Macaca fascicularis: one gene and its partners. The protein of the gene in region 3 interacts with the protein of the main gene of each other region in a biochemical or structural test. Links are inferred from orthologs where the notes say so. Each region holds a gene or a part of one and is shown on either strand. Other genes may lie near its edges. The genes, in order: RGS19, LRP2 and GIPC1.

The links.
Region 1: the proteins of GIPC1 (region 3) and RGS19 form a complex in vitro, tested with the Homo sapiens proteins (2 studies listed by BioGRID). The link is inferred for Macaca fascicularis from reciprocal best matches to the Homo sapiens genes GIPC1 and RGS19.
Region 2: the proteins of GIPC1 (region 3) and LRP2 form a complex in vitro, tested with the Homo sapiens proteins (2 studies listed by BioGRID). The link is inferred for Macaca fascicularis from reciprocal best matches to the Homo sapiens genes GIPC1 and LRP2.

What each region holds. Positions count from the first base shown.
Region 1 is NC_088384.1:120,217,706-120,221,843, forward strand, and holds the start of RGS19 (regulator of G-protein signaling 19), read right to left. Parts: upstream 2,859-4,138; 5' UTR 2,793-2,858; exon of another isoform or gene 2,213-2,792; intron 196-2,212; exon of another isoform or gene 58-195; intron 1-57. Other genes in the region: protein LKAAEAR1, read right to left, coding at 3,785-3,802. UniProt on the Homo sapiens protein: Inhibits signal transduction by increasing the GTPase activity of G protein alpha subunits thereby driving them into their inactive GDP-bound form. Binds to G-alpha subfamily 1 members, with the order G(i)a3 > G(i)a1 > G(o)a >> G(z)a/G(i)a2.
Region 2 is NC_088386.1:64,772,813-64,776,459, forward strand, and holds part of LRP2 (low-density lipoprotein receptor-related protein 2), read right to left. Parts: intron 3,012-3,647; coding exon 2,091-3,011; intron 1,950-2,090; coding exon 1,784-1,949; intron 1,383-1,783; coding exon 1,224-1,382; intron 31-1,223; coding exon 1-30. UniProt on the Homo sapiens protein: Multiligand endocytic receptor. Acts together with CUBN to mediate endocytosis of high-density lipoproteins. Mediates receptor-mediated uptake of polybasic drugs such as aprotinin, aminoglycosides and polymyxin B.
Region 3 is NC_088393.1:14,912,262-14,915,370, forward strand, and holds the end of GIPC1 (PDZ domain-containing protein GIPC1), read right to left. Parts: coding exon 2,967-3,109; intron 2,263-2,966; coding exon 2,150-2,262; intron 1,518-2,149; coding exon 1,436-1,517; intron 1,312-1,435; coding exon 1,160-1,311; 3' UTR 505-1,159; downstream 1-504. UniProt on the Homo sapiens protein: May be involved in G protein-linked signaling.

The DNA of each region.
Region 1 (4,138 bases), on a different chromosome or scaffold from region 3:
TGCTCCTGCCTCTGGACCCGGCTCTGTCCAGGGCTTCTACCCCAACCCCAAGCTTACAGCAGGGCTGGGAGGGGGTCTAGGGTCATTGAGGAGGGGGCTGCAGCAACTTCTGGCCCCTCCTCCCAGGCTGGGCCCCAGATGAGGCCCCCACAGAAGGTTCCGAGACACCCCCATCCGCTCACTCCCTGGGAAGCCGGAAGCCTGGGTTCCTCTTTCTCGGTTTCCGGCTCCCAGCCCCTCCCAAAGGGGCCCCAAGAGTCTGGGGCTACCAACTGTGCGTGCGGGTGGTGGCCAGACTTGCTTCTAGGGCGTCTGGGGTGGGGAGTGGGCAGAGCAGCTCCCACCAAGAGTCCAGGTCTGTCTGCGGGTCCCAGAGGTCTCAGCCAGGGGCAGCAGGTTAGACCTGCCGCAGTGAGGTTTTAAGTGGGACTCAGGGCTGGACTCTCTGAGGGTGTGGGGAGGGGGGCAGGGCCCTGGTGAGGAGGGACGTGCCCCCCAAACATGGTTCTTTGGTCCTGCTACCTCCCTCCCAAGACTTCCCTCCCTCCTTGCCCACTGCCTCTAGGCTGTGAAACCGCTGTGGAACCAAGGCCGTACCACACAGTGCGCCAGCCAGGGAAGTGGGGGTGGCAGTGGGTGGAGGCACCCTCCTCCCCAGTCAAAGCCTCAGAGTCCCTGAGGGGTGTGGTGTGGTGCGTGTACCTCCCAGCGTTTGGTTGCACCATCGGCAGGGGAGGTGCACCAGGAGCGCCAAAGCTGTGGGTGGCCCTCGTGCCACCTAAGATACCACTTTGAACCCCAGGTCTCCTTGGGCAATGGCACAGGGGGGCCAATCAGTGCCCCGGAGGCAGTTGTGAACACCTGCGCCCACCTCTGCCCTCTGGGCCTCCATGCATGTCCACCACCCTCCTCCCTGGCCAGGAAGCTCACAACTTGGTTCTACTTTATTTTCTCAATCTTCATCCCCCCCGCCACGCCTCCCTTAGCTTGTGGCCTTTGAATGCTTGTTTCTGTCTGGTTGGTCTCTCTTGGCCTTCTGGGACGGTGTGTGAATGGCGCTCAGAGGAGACAGTGCTGGAGTTCTGCACTCTCAGGGCCCCCAATACCCCTGAGGCCTGGGCATGCAGAGGCCACTGCCCTGGCCCAAGTCTGGGGCAGGTGCAGCATCCCCCGGGACCTCGGCCCCTCACCGCCTGCCCAGCTTCCTCTGAGACTGTGGGTCCCACAGGTTCCTAGCAAGTAGATGAGGAGACAGAAGGTGGCCCCGCAGCTGGGCTTGCTTTCAGGGGTCAAGTTTCTAGGGAAAGGAAGGGGCGTGGCAACCTGAGGTTTGGTAGCTGTGCCCAGACGGGGCTGTCTGTGACTTCCCCAGGCAGCAGTTCTTCCTCCTCTCTGCCCCCACCCAGGGTCCTCCCCCACACTCTAGCACCCCGGAGACTGTCCCTCCTGGGCTACCATGTCCACCCCAGCTCTGAACTGGAGGAGGGGACATGTTTAGGGGTGCCAGGCCGGGGTGCTAGGGGCTGCATTTGCTGCAGAGGAGGGAGCCAGCCCCTTCTTTCCCAGCTTCAGGCCCTGGACCGGGTCACCTGTCCCTGGACTGGGCTTCCTGTACCCTTCTCAGGTCAGCTGGGGCAACCCATGTCCCCAGGCTACACCCCCTTCTCTCCTGGAGGATACAGAGTCTCAACTAGGGTCCTCCTGCTTGTCATCCTGGGATTGGGGACCCCCCTTCCCCAGCCTCCCAGGCTTTGGCCCCCAAGTCTGGGATGGGAGAGTCTGGACAGGCGGCACGTCTGGTCTCTGGGGATAGAGGCTCCCTTGGGAGTGGCTGCTGCTTTGCTCCACAGAAGGAAAAAGAACGTCCCAGAGCCTGCCCAGTCCAAAAAAAGAATAAGAAAATGTGACAATCCCAGAAAAAAATGTCATAACCTTTGGGAGGGGTTGAAGAGGGGCTCCATTCTCAGTTCTTAGCGCCCACCCAGGGCCTTTCCCATCTGCCACCCTCCACATCTGGCTGGTGGATGAGCCCTGGCCTGGCCCCTCCAAGGAAGGCCAGCTCTCCCCACCTCTGAAATGGTGGTGGTGACCCACCCACCACGCTCCTCTGGCTGCTGTTAGGGTCCCGCCTGGAGGAGCCTGTGTCCTCCTCCAGGTGCCTCTTTCTCCAGCCTCTGACGCCCCCACCCCTACCTCAATGCTCCCTACTCACCAGCGACCCAAAGGCAGGGTGGGGGCAGGAGGGGCCAGGTTGGGTCTGGGCCCCACCCTGGCTGCCGAAGGGGCGTGCACTGCAGCAGCAGGGACTCAAGTCAGACGGCAGGAGGGACTCCTGCGGCGCTCTGGAGGGAGGCTAGCGCCAGGAGCCCCCGATCGGCTGGGGCCGGGGGCGCAGCGCCTCCCCTACAGCTCGAAGGGCTGAGTGGCTGCCAGATCCAGCGGGGTGGGGGCGGGGGCGGACAGGGTGTCCCGCCCCGGCCCCTCCTCACCGGGCTGGCGGGGGGGAGGGAGACGCGGAAACCTGGGTTCTTCCGGCCCCCACCTTTAAGCAATCACTTCCCCAGGCTTTGAGCTCCACAAAAAGGGGAACCCGGCTGCAGCGCCCCCTCCCCCAAGCGCGGGGGGCGGGCTCCAGTTCCACTGCGGCCCAGGGTCCACGTGGACCTGGCGGCGGGAGTCCTTGGGGTTCGAGTCCCGTGCGCCGGCTCCCGAAGCTCCCGCCCCGCACGGTCCCCGGGCCCGGGCCGGGAGGGGCAGGGCCGCTGTCCCCGGCGCGGCGCGCGCGCACTCACCAGCCGCGCTCCCGAGCCACTCGCGCCGCCGCCGGCCCGCGCGCTCCAAGGTCCGGCCCGACAGTCGGGGAGGGGGCGCGGGGGCGCAGTGCGCAGGCGCCTCGGCAGCACTTCCCCAAAGCCAGGGGCCGGGACTTCCTCGCGCCGGGAGGCGCCGGGCCCGCCCCGCCCGCCGCGCCCCGCCCCGCCCCGCGCTCGGCCGGCTCCACACCCCACCCGCCCCGCCCGCGCTCGGCCCCCACAGTCGCTTGGGGGTGGCCCGGAGGGTTGAGGTGCTCGTAGTGGAGCCCTGGCCCCCGGGCCGACGGAGCTGCACGGTAGTAGATGGGGGTGTGGCCGTGGCCCCCGACTCTGCTCGGCGGGGCCGTTCCTGCCTTGCTGTTCGTGTGGGACTTGCACGACACTCCAGTGTGGAGGCAGGAGAGCGGGGCCCCATATGCTGCTTGCCCTGCTTGGGAAAGAGGCGGCTGCTGGAAAGGACCGATCGGCGGGCACGCCAGCCCGGCCCACCCCTCGCCTCCGTGAGCTTCGTCTGTAAAACTGGGTTAAGAGCCTGTCGTGCTGTGGGGGGTTCCCAAGGAAGGGGGAGATTCCTGTGCTGCGGGGCTGGGGAGAACTGGGGGTGCGGGTTCGTGCACCCGGAGTCATGTCGAATGTCTCCTGCGGGGCCTGGCAGAGTCCCTGCTGACCCGTGTGTCCCAAGATGTCTTACGGCTTAAAGCCACACTGTCCCCTTTGGCTGACTCTTCTCATCCTTTATGACTCGGTACAGATGTGGGCCAGGCTTCTCATCGCAGCATGCTTTGGCCCAGTGTCGGTGGCCCTGACCCTGCTCCGGAAGTGTCTGCAGAGCATCTGTGCCCCCCGCCCTCCCCGGGCCCAGCTGTGTGCAGCTCCCGTCCTACCCAGCACAAGCACTCGACCCGGATAGCTCCCAATGTCGGGGTCCTGTTCATCAAATGCCTTCCAATTGCACAGGTCAGGTGCACACCTTACACCTTCACAGAACTCTGAGGGGTGGAAAGGGAGATTTTACTTGTGTTCCTCATTCAATGGACAAGTATCAGTATCTGGGTGCCCCTGTGGGCCAGGCAGTGGGACCAGAAGCCAGCAACATAGATGGGCCTGGATCTGATGCTAGGGGCATAGAGTGAGTTGTGGGGAGCAGGCAGGGAAGGCCTGAGTGAGAGGCGGGAGGGCTGAGAGGGGAGGGTGTTGCACTGCCGAGGGGGGTGAGGGCCTGAAGGGGGAGGTCAGAGGTCAGAGGTCAGAGGGCCCTGGAGGACAGACTGCCTCTCGCAGCTGTACCCAGAGGTCTGGCCGACTTGACTGCAGAACCCTGTGAC
Region 2 (3,647 bases), on a different chromosome or scaffold from region 3:
CCCGTCAGAGTGCTGCGTTCAATCTTCTGCCTAAAATGAAGCAAAAAAAAAAAAAAAAAAAATTAAGAAGTTGAAATCTCAAATGAGTTAAGTTTTCAACTGGCAACCCAATACATGTGCCTCATGATTGTTTACACAAGCCCCCAACTTTCTTTTCAAGTGGGGCATATGGCAGCTAGAAATGTTTCTTCTGGAGATGGGAGGTCTTGTTTGCTTATCAAACAATAGACTTTATAAAATCATTGACTTCCAAATATGAATAGTAATCCTGAAAAAGGAACCGGGTTGACATTAGAAACAGGAAAACATGAAATAATCCATGTAATGCATGGAACTCAGTGTTGAGCACATAGCAGATTCTCAATAAAACAATAACTTTTCCATCCCACTTCCTTAGTGACTTTTTCGATTTGACATTTATTGAGTACCTTGAAGCATTTACCTAGAATAATCCAAGCTTAGACCCAAAGTATCACTGCTTTGTTTCAAATAGGAGAATAAACAAAAGATCAGGAGGTTAGGAGCTTGGCATCACAAGACTAAAATTCCAAAGAAATATGCAAGGAAAATGTAAGATTCCTAGTATGTAGACACCAGCTATAATAAACAAAATCATTTCATCCCTTCAACTATTCCATTAGGATGACTGGAATGTGAGACACATGGGGGGTACTTGGAGAAGTTACATACAAAATTAGAGTTGACAAAAGGAAAATATTAAGAAATGTGCTGAGGAGAAGCTTGCCAGAGAAGAAAGGGTCTATTTGAAAAGATGACCAAAAGTCAAAGAATAAAGAAAATACTTTTCTAAAAGACATTGAATGCTAAAGCCCAGAAAAAATCTTAATATCAATGGGCATTTAAAAGTCATTCAGATTTTATGGCAGTTACCTAGGGCCTGCAGAATGTAAGTTGAGTAATTTCATTTGTAATTCTAAATTGAGAAAATACATTTATAATTATAGCTGAAATTACAGATATATTTAGCAATGCACCTTCAGATGTCTTTTAGTTCATAATTATTCAATGCATGATATAGATAAATTTTCACAGGTATGTTCACCAAGTTACAATATAAACATAGTTCCTAAAACTGTGATTCTATATTTTGGCAATGTCTATCTGGCATATTATCTTTTCATCACATGATGCAAATCCCTCTTCTTTGGAAATGGGAGGAAAAACTCTTCTTAACACCCACATGAGTAACCAGAGACACCTACAGACTAGCGTCCACCCAGTACAGAAGGTCCTCCTCATAGTCCAGAGTCAGCCCACTGGGCATGACCAGGCTGCTGTTCACAATGGGTACCCGGAAGTTTCCTCCCAATGTGGCTCTCTCGATTTTGGCATGCATATCCCAATCAGCCCAGTACAGGTACCTAGTCGTACAAAAGGAGTCAATAATTAATTCACAGGGAACCTCATAGTCCTTAAGAAAAAAAAGAAAAAGAAAAGAAAGAAAAAAAGGACAACATTCTTTAATTGCAAATTGCCAGTAACATGGCAAAAGAAACTCCATTTCTACTTACACAACTCATCCAAAAGGGATCTATTGAGTCAGGGTGTTGACTTCCTAGTATGTTGCCAACCTTTCTGCCATCAAAGGGAGCTACACGCTGCACCCTCCTTCCCAGGTAAAATCATTCAATATGCTTTCACCCTTGGATCTGTAGCCATGGTGTTATAAGCCCATAACACACTGGCTATCTATGAACACAATTTCAGGCCCCACTCTTTCCAGAAATAAGCAGACAGAAATATAACAAAGATGATGGCATACCCTTGGCAGGGATCTAACACAATTGCTCTTGGTTTTGGAACGCGGGCTATCACAGTGCGGTTAGACCCATCTTCAGCCATGGAATTAATCGTCTGGTTGAGGTAGTCACTGTAATAAATTCTTCTAGTAATCCAATCAAAGGCAATGCCATCAGCAGTCCCTATACCTGGACACATACCGGCAGACACACACACAAGCACACACAAAGACATTAGAGTCTCATATGCATTGGAAACACTCAGTCATCCATGTGTGTTGACCCCATTGTGTCTACTTGCAGGATAAGCAGCACCTGGAGTGCACTTACCTGAAGCAATGACAGTTGGAGTATGGATCCCTGAAGACAGGCTGACATAGGAAATCTGTCCAACTCCAGAGGCTAAATTTTGTGTGAAGTAGATTCTATCACTTACACTGTCATAGTCTAGAGACATGACAGTTCTTTCCACATTTATTGTTTGGAAAGGTGGGCTATGGTTTTCAGGGTCCAAGTGTAAGCTTCTCAAGGAATTAGACAAAGCAAAGATGAGGAAATTTTCTGTTGAAATGGCACAATTCTTGCCATCACTTTCTAGGGTCCCAAAGGCACAGTCACATTTCGGGGTGTACAATCCAGGCAGAGCAAAGCAGAGATGAGAGCACCCACCATTATTTTCCAAGCAAGGGTTGTTGTTGACCTCTGCTGGTGACTGGGGTTGGACTTGCTTGTCAAAGATGGTCACATCTCTTAGCCAGTTGATATTGTCTCTTATCACTGTGGGTGGGTCTGTGTTCTCTGGTTCCTTGCTGGCTTGGAAGATTTTTTTCAAATTCCTATCTACCCATATGATAGAATTTCCAAAAACAGTGATGCCATAAGGAGTTGGGTAACGACTGCCGTAACGAATCACCTCAGAGTTCTCTCCATTGATACGAATCCTTGCAATTATATCTAAAGAATCATCAACCCAATAAACGTAGCCATCGCTTCGGTCCACTGCCAAGCCCCGTGGGGTGACAATGCCCTCGGACACAAGCACAGTTCGATTGGTACAGTCAAGGAAAGAACGCTCAATCTTTGGTCTCTGCCCATAGTCAGCCCAGAAGAGGTATCTGTTCTTGGGATCTACAACGATATGCCTAGGCATGTCCACTGTGACTTTAAGAAGAACACGGCGGTAAGTAGTATTGATCCGCAGAACTTCTATCAGTGTTTCAGAAACAAAGGCATTGGTGAAATAAAGATTTCCTATGGGAAAATGAAAGTGCATGCTGATCAATGGAGAACCAAGAAGAAAAAAAGGGAGAACTTTCCAAATTCAGAACAAAATGTATAAGGTTGAAGTTTGGGTCACTATATGTTGTCTTTTCCAAGATGATAAATAAATGTCCCAGTCTAGGCTTTGAAAACTAAATTCTTACTCCTAGGAATTACAGAGATTGCGTCTTCAAACTTAGAGAGAATGTGCCTATCTTCAGCTTCTAAAGTACATTAGAATTCATAGCAACATCATAACCCACTTTCTACTGAAAGGTATATTTTCCAGAATGTCCCCCCTTTTCTACCTGAAGCTCTAAATGCTCAATACCAACTTGAAACACTCTAAATATACATTTTCATAGGACAACTTCTACCCCAATATGATAAAAGTAGCAAAGAGGGAGCACCAGCAGCATCTCAGGTTGTTATTGATGTTATCAAATGCTCTTTGTGCTTAAGGTTAACATGAAGTTTTTCCTTAGTCTTTCTAACTAATGTAGGTGTGTTCATCCCATGGGCCTTCTAAAAGTGACCATAACAAAAGTCCATTTCCCTTTAAGCCTCATGTAAATGCTAGAATAAAAAGATAACTTTGTGAAGATAGTATAATAAGTAGAGAATGGT
Region 3 (3,109 bases):
TGATCACCCTCAATCCTTGAAGATGAGTGGGTTGTCAAAACAAGTATGCCGGGTTTAGTAAGCAGGGTGCCCCATGGACGCCTGCATGTCCAGCATTGGGCCGCGTGGGGTGGGGGCTGCATCGTGTCTGCCCCCAACTTCCCGGTGTAGGGGTGGGGCTCTGGCAGGCCTGAGGTTCCATCTATTTCCAAGCCAAGTTTCAATGCCCTGGTACTCCCCCCAGTCCAGGGGTTGTCACCGGCTGCAGACGGCAGCCTTGTGAAGCTCCAGGGGGCGGGAGGCCTTGTGGGAGAGGGGGCAGGATTTGAACCCTCAGTAGTCCAGGAAGCTCTGGCTCTGCCTGGAAGCCTGGTGGCCTGCAGCCAGAAGGAACAGTGGGAGGGGGCAGGCGGCCTGGTGCCAGCTCCTAATTCAATTTGGAGCCTGCGGAAGATGGATTTCAGCTGCTGAATTCTTTCTCAGCCCCGACCCTCCCCCTCTCCCACCCCGAAGCCACGCAGGTCCAACAGCAGATAGATTCTTTATGTTCAAGACAGCAAATTCAGATACAAAAGCCCACCGCCATCGTCCCTCCCTCCCTCCTGCTCTGGGCCAGGGATAGGCCTGGAGGGGGGAGATGGGAGTTGGGGAGGAGGTTGGGGGGTTCACAGCAGACTCATGTCAAATGCGGAGGTAACAGGCTCCACGGGGCGGGGGCTCCTCTCAGGAGGGGCGAGGGCATTATTGCATTTGCTGGGGGGAGGGACAACCCTCTCCCCTATATTCCCTGCGTCAGGAAACTAGGAAGGTCATGACCCCCGAGCAGAACCCAAGGCCCCAGGGAGACGGAGGGACCAGTTTGGCAGCTGATGGTGGAAAGTGGTGGAGGCGGGGGTGGCCGCCCAATTTGGCCGATCCCTCCCTTCCCCGTGCCTGACCCGGCTGAGGTAGGTGGGGAACAGGGCACAGGGGGGCCGGGGACCCCGGACAGATTGGGAACCGGGGAGGGGATGGTACCGATTGGAGCGGGGCAGGGGGCCCGGCCCCACCTCCCCTCCCCATCATCCTTGGGCTGCTGAGCTAGGCTCAGGCTGGAGGCTTGAGTCCTGATGTCAGTGTCCCTGCTGGGGGCCCCCACCAGGTTGGGCCCGGGTCATCATCGCAGGGTCCGGGGGGAGTCCTAGTAGCGGCCGACCTTGGCGTCCCCGATGGCGCCCCAGACGTCAAAGACGAATTCGTCAGGGAAGGCAAAGTCACCCAGCCGTTCGTCCAGGGCCTCGGCCAGCTCATCCGGGTTCCTTTTGTCCTTTCCCAGCTCCACCATGGTGGCCGCTATTGGCGGAGGGGGCAGAATGGAGGCACAAATGACACCAGGGACCAAGGGACTCAGGGTGGATTCAGCCAGCACCAGACCTAGATGCCGCCCCCCACGCCCCCGCAGGCAGCCCTCACTTACCCAACTCCGTGTCCCTGATACCCATGTAACTCTCCAGCAGGTCATCCACCTTCTCAATGGCCTTCTCTTCAAAGGCGGAGGGCTGGGGGCCAGGAGGGGTGACAGCGACATCATAACAATGTGAATATACATTGTAATTGGACTGACCGCCCTTGTCACCACTTTACATATATTCCTATTTAGACCTCAGGACAACCCTGAGAAGAAGGTATCGGTGTTCATCTCATCCCCATTTTACTGATGGGCAAACTGAGGCCCACGTGCCCAAGGAAGGTCCCTGGGAGCTGGGAAGTGGCAGAAGTGGACTAGAATCCAGGCTGTCTGCCCAGAGTCCCCTCAGCTAACAGATGATGCTGCCTACTATGAAAAGGAAGTGAGGGCTGGGGGTGGTGGCTCACGCCTATAATCCCAGCACTTTGGGAGGCCAAGGAGGCTGGATCACCTGAGGCCAGGAGTTCGAGACCAGCCTGGCCAACATGGTGAAACCCCGTCTCTACTAAAAATACAAAAATCAGCCGGGCATGGTGGCGGGCGCCTGTAGTCCCAGCTACTTGGGAGGCTGAGGCAGGAGAATTGCTTGAACCTGTGAGGCTGAGGTTGCAGTGAGCCGAGATCGAGCTACTATACTCCAGCCTGGGTGACAACAGTGAGACTCTGTCTCAAAAAAAAGAAAGGGAAGGAATGCTGGAGATAGGGTCCAGCTGGAGCACTCACCAGATCCTCCACCGTGGCAGGGCCCCGGGATCGGAGCCGCAGGGTCCCTCGGCCAGTGCCCAGTTGTGGGCCAGAGCCAGGGCGGCCACCCGCTGAGCGTTGGCTGATCATGTCTGTGGGAGGTAGGAGAGGGGTGCGTGTGGGGGAAGCTCGGTTTTAGCACGCTCTGGGCAGGAACTTGGCCCTCCTGGCTTTCGACACCACCCCAAACTTCTCCAAGCTTCTGCAAGTTCCTGGGGGCTGGGGCCAGGGCAGGAATCCTGACTCAGGCCTGGCATGGATGTGGGGCAGAGCAGGGGGGACAGCTGGGGGCCAGGAATAGGAAATGCTAGAGGGGAGACTGGAGGGGCCACTTCTGCTCCCAGGGGCTGGGACAGGAAGCGGGTGTACCCCAGCCTGAGTCTCCAGCTGCCTGAGTCCGTCTCCTCTTGGCCAAGGGGGTATGGCTCCCGGGCCACAGACCAGCCCTACCTGCCCGGGGAAGTGATTCAGTCCCCCACCCCCATCTCAGGGGCCTGGGGCCCATTCCTTAGAGTTAGTGAAGCCAGATGGAAAAGTGGGGGGGCTGGTACTGAGCGGCCAAGTCTGACCTGTTAGGGGTGGGGGCTGGCCAGGGGTGAGGACACCTTCCTCCTTGCCCCCGCCCTTCTCTCCGGCTGGGCCAAGGACCAGCACCTCGTCTCGGGACCGGGAGGAGCTGCACCCACTTCCCTTTCGGCTGCCCAGGCTCGGGCGCCACCTGCTGGCCGCTCCCGGCACCACCGCCTGCGCCCGTGTGAGCAGCGCCATTGGGGAGGTGCAGGGGGCGGCTCCTCACCGAAGGCCTTGCGAGGCTCCGTGAGCTTCAGCGTGAAGGTACGGCCTCGGGGCAGCTCCTTGAGCAGCCGGGCCACCTCGTAGTGCCGGCAGCCCAGCAGGCTCTGCCCGTTAATGGCCTCGATCATGTCGCCCACGCTGATG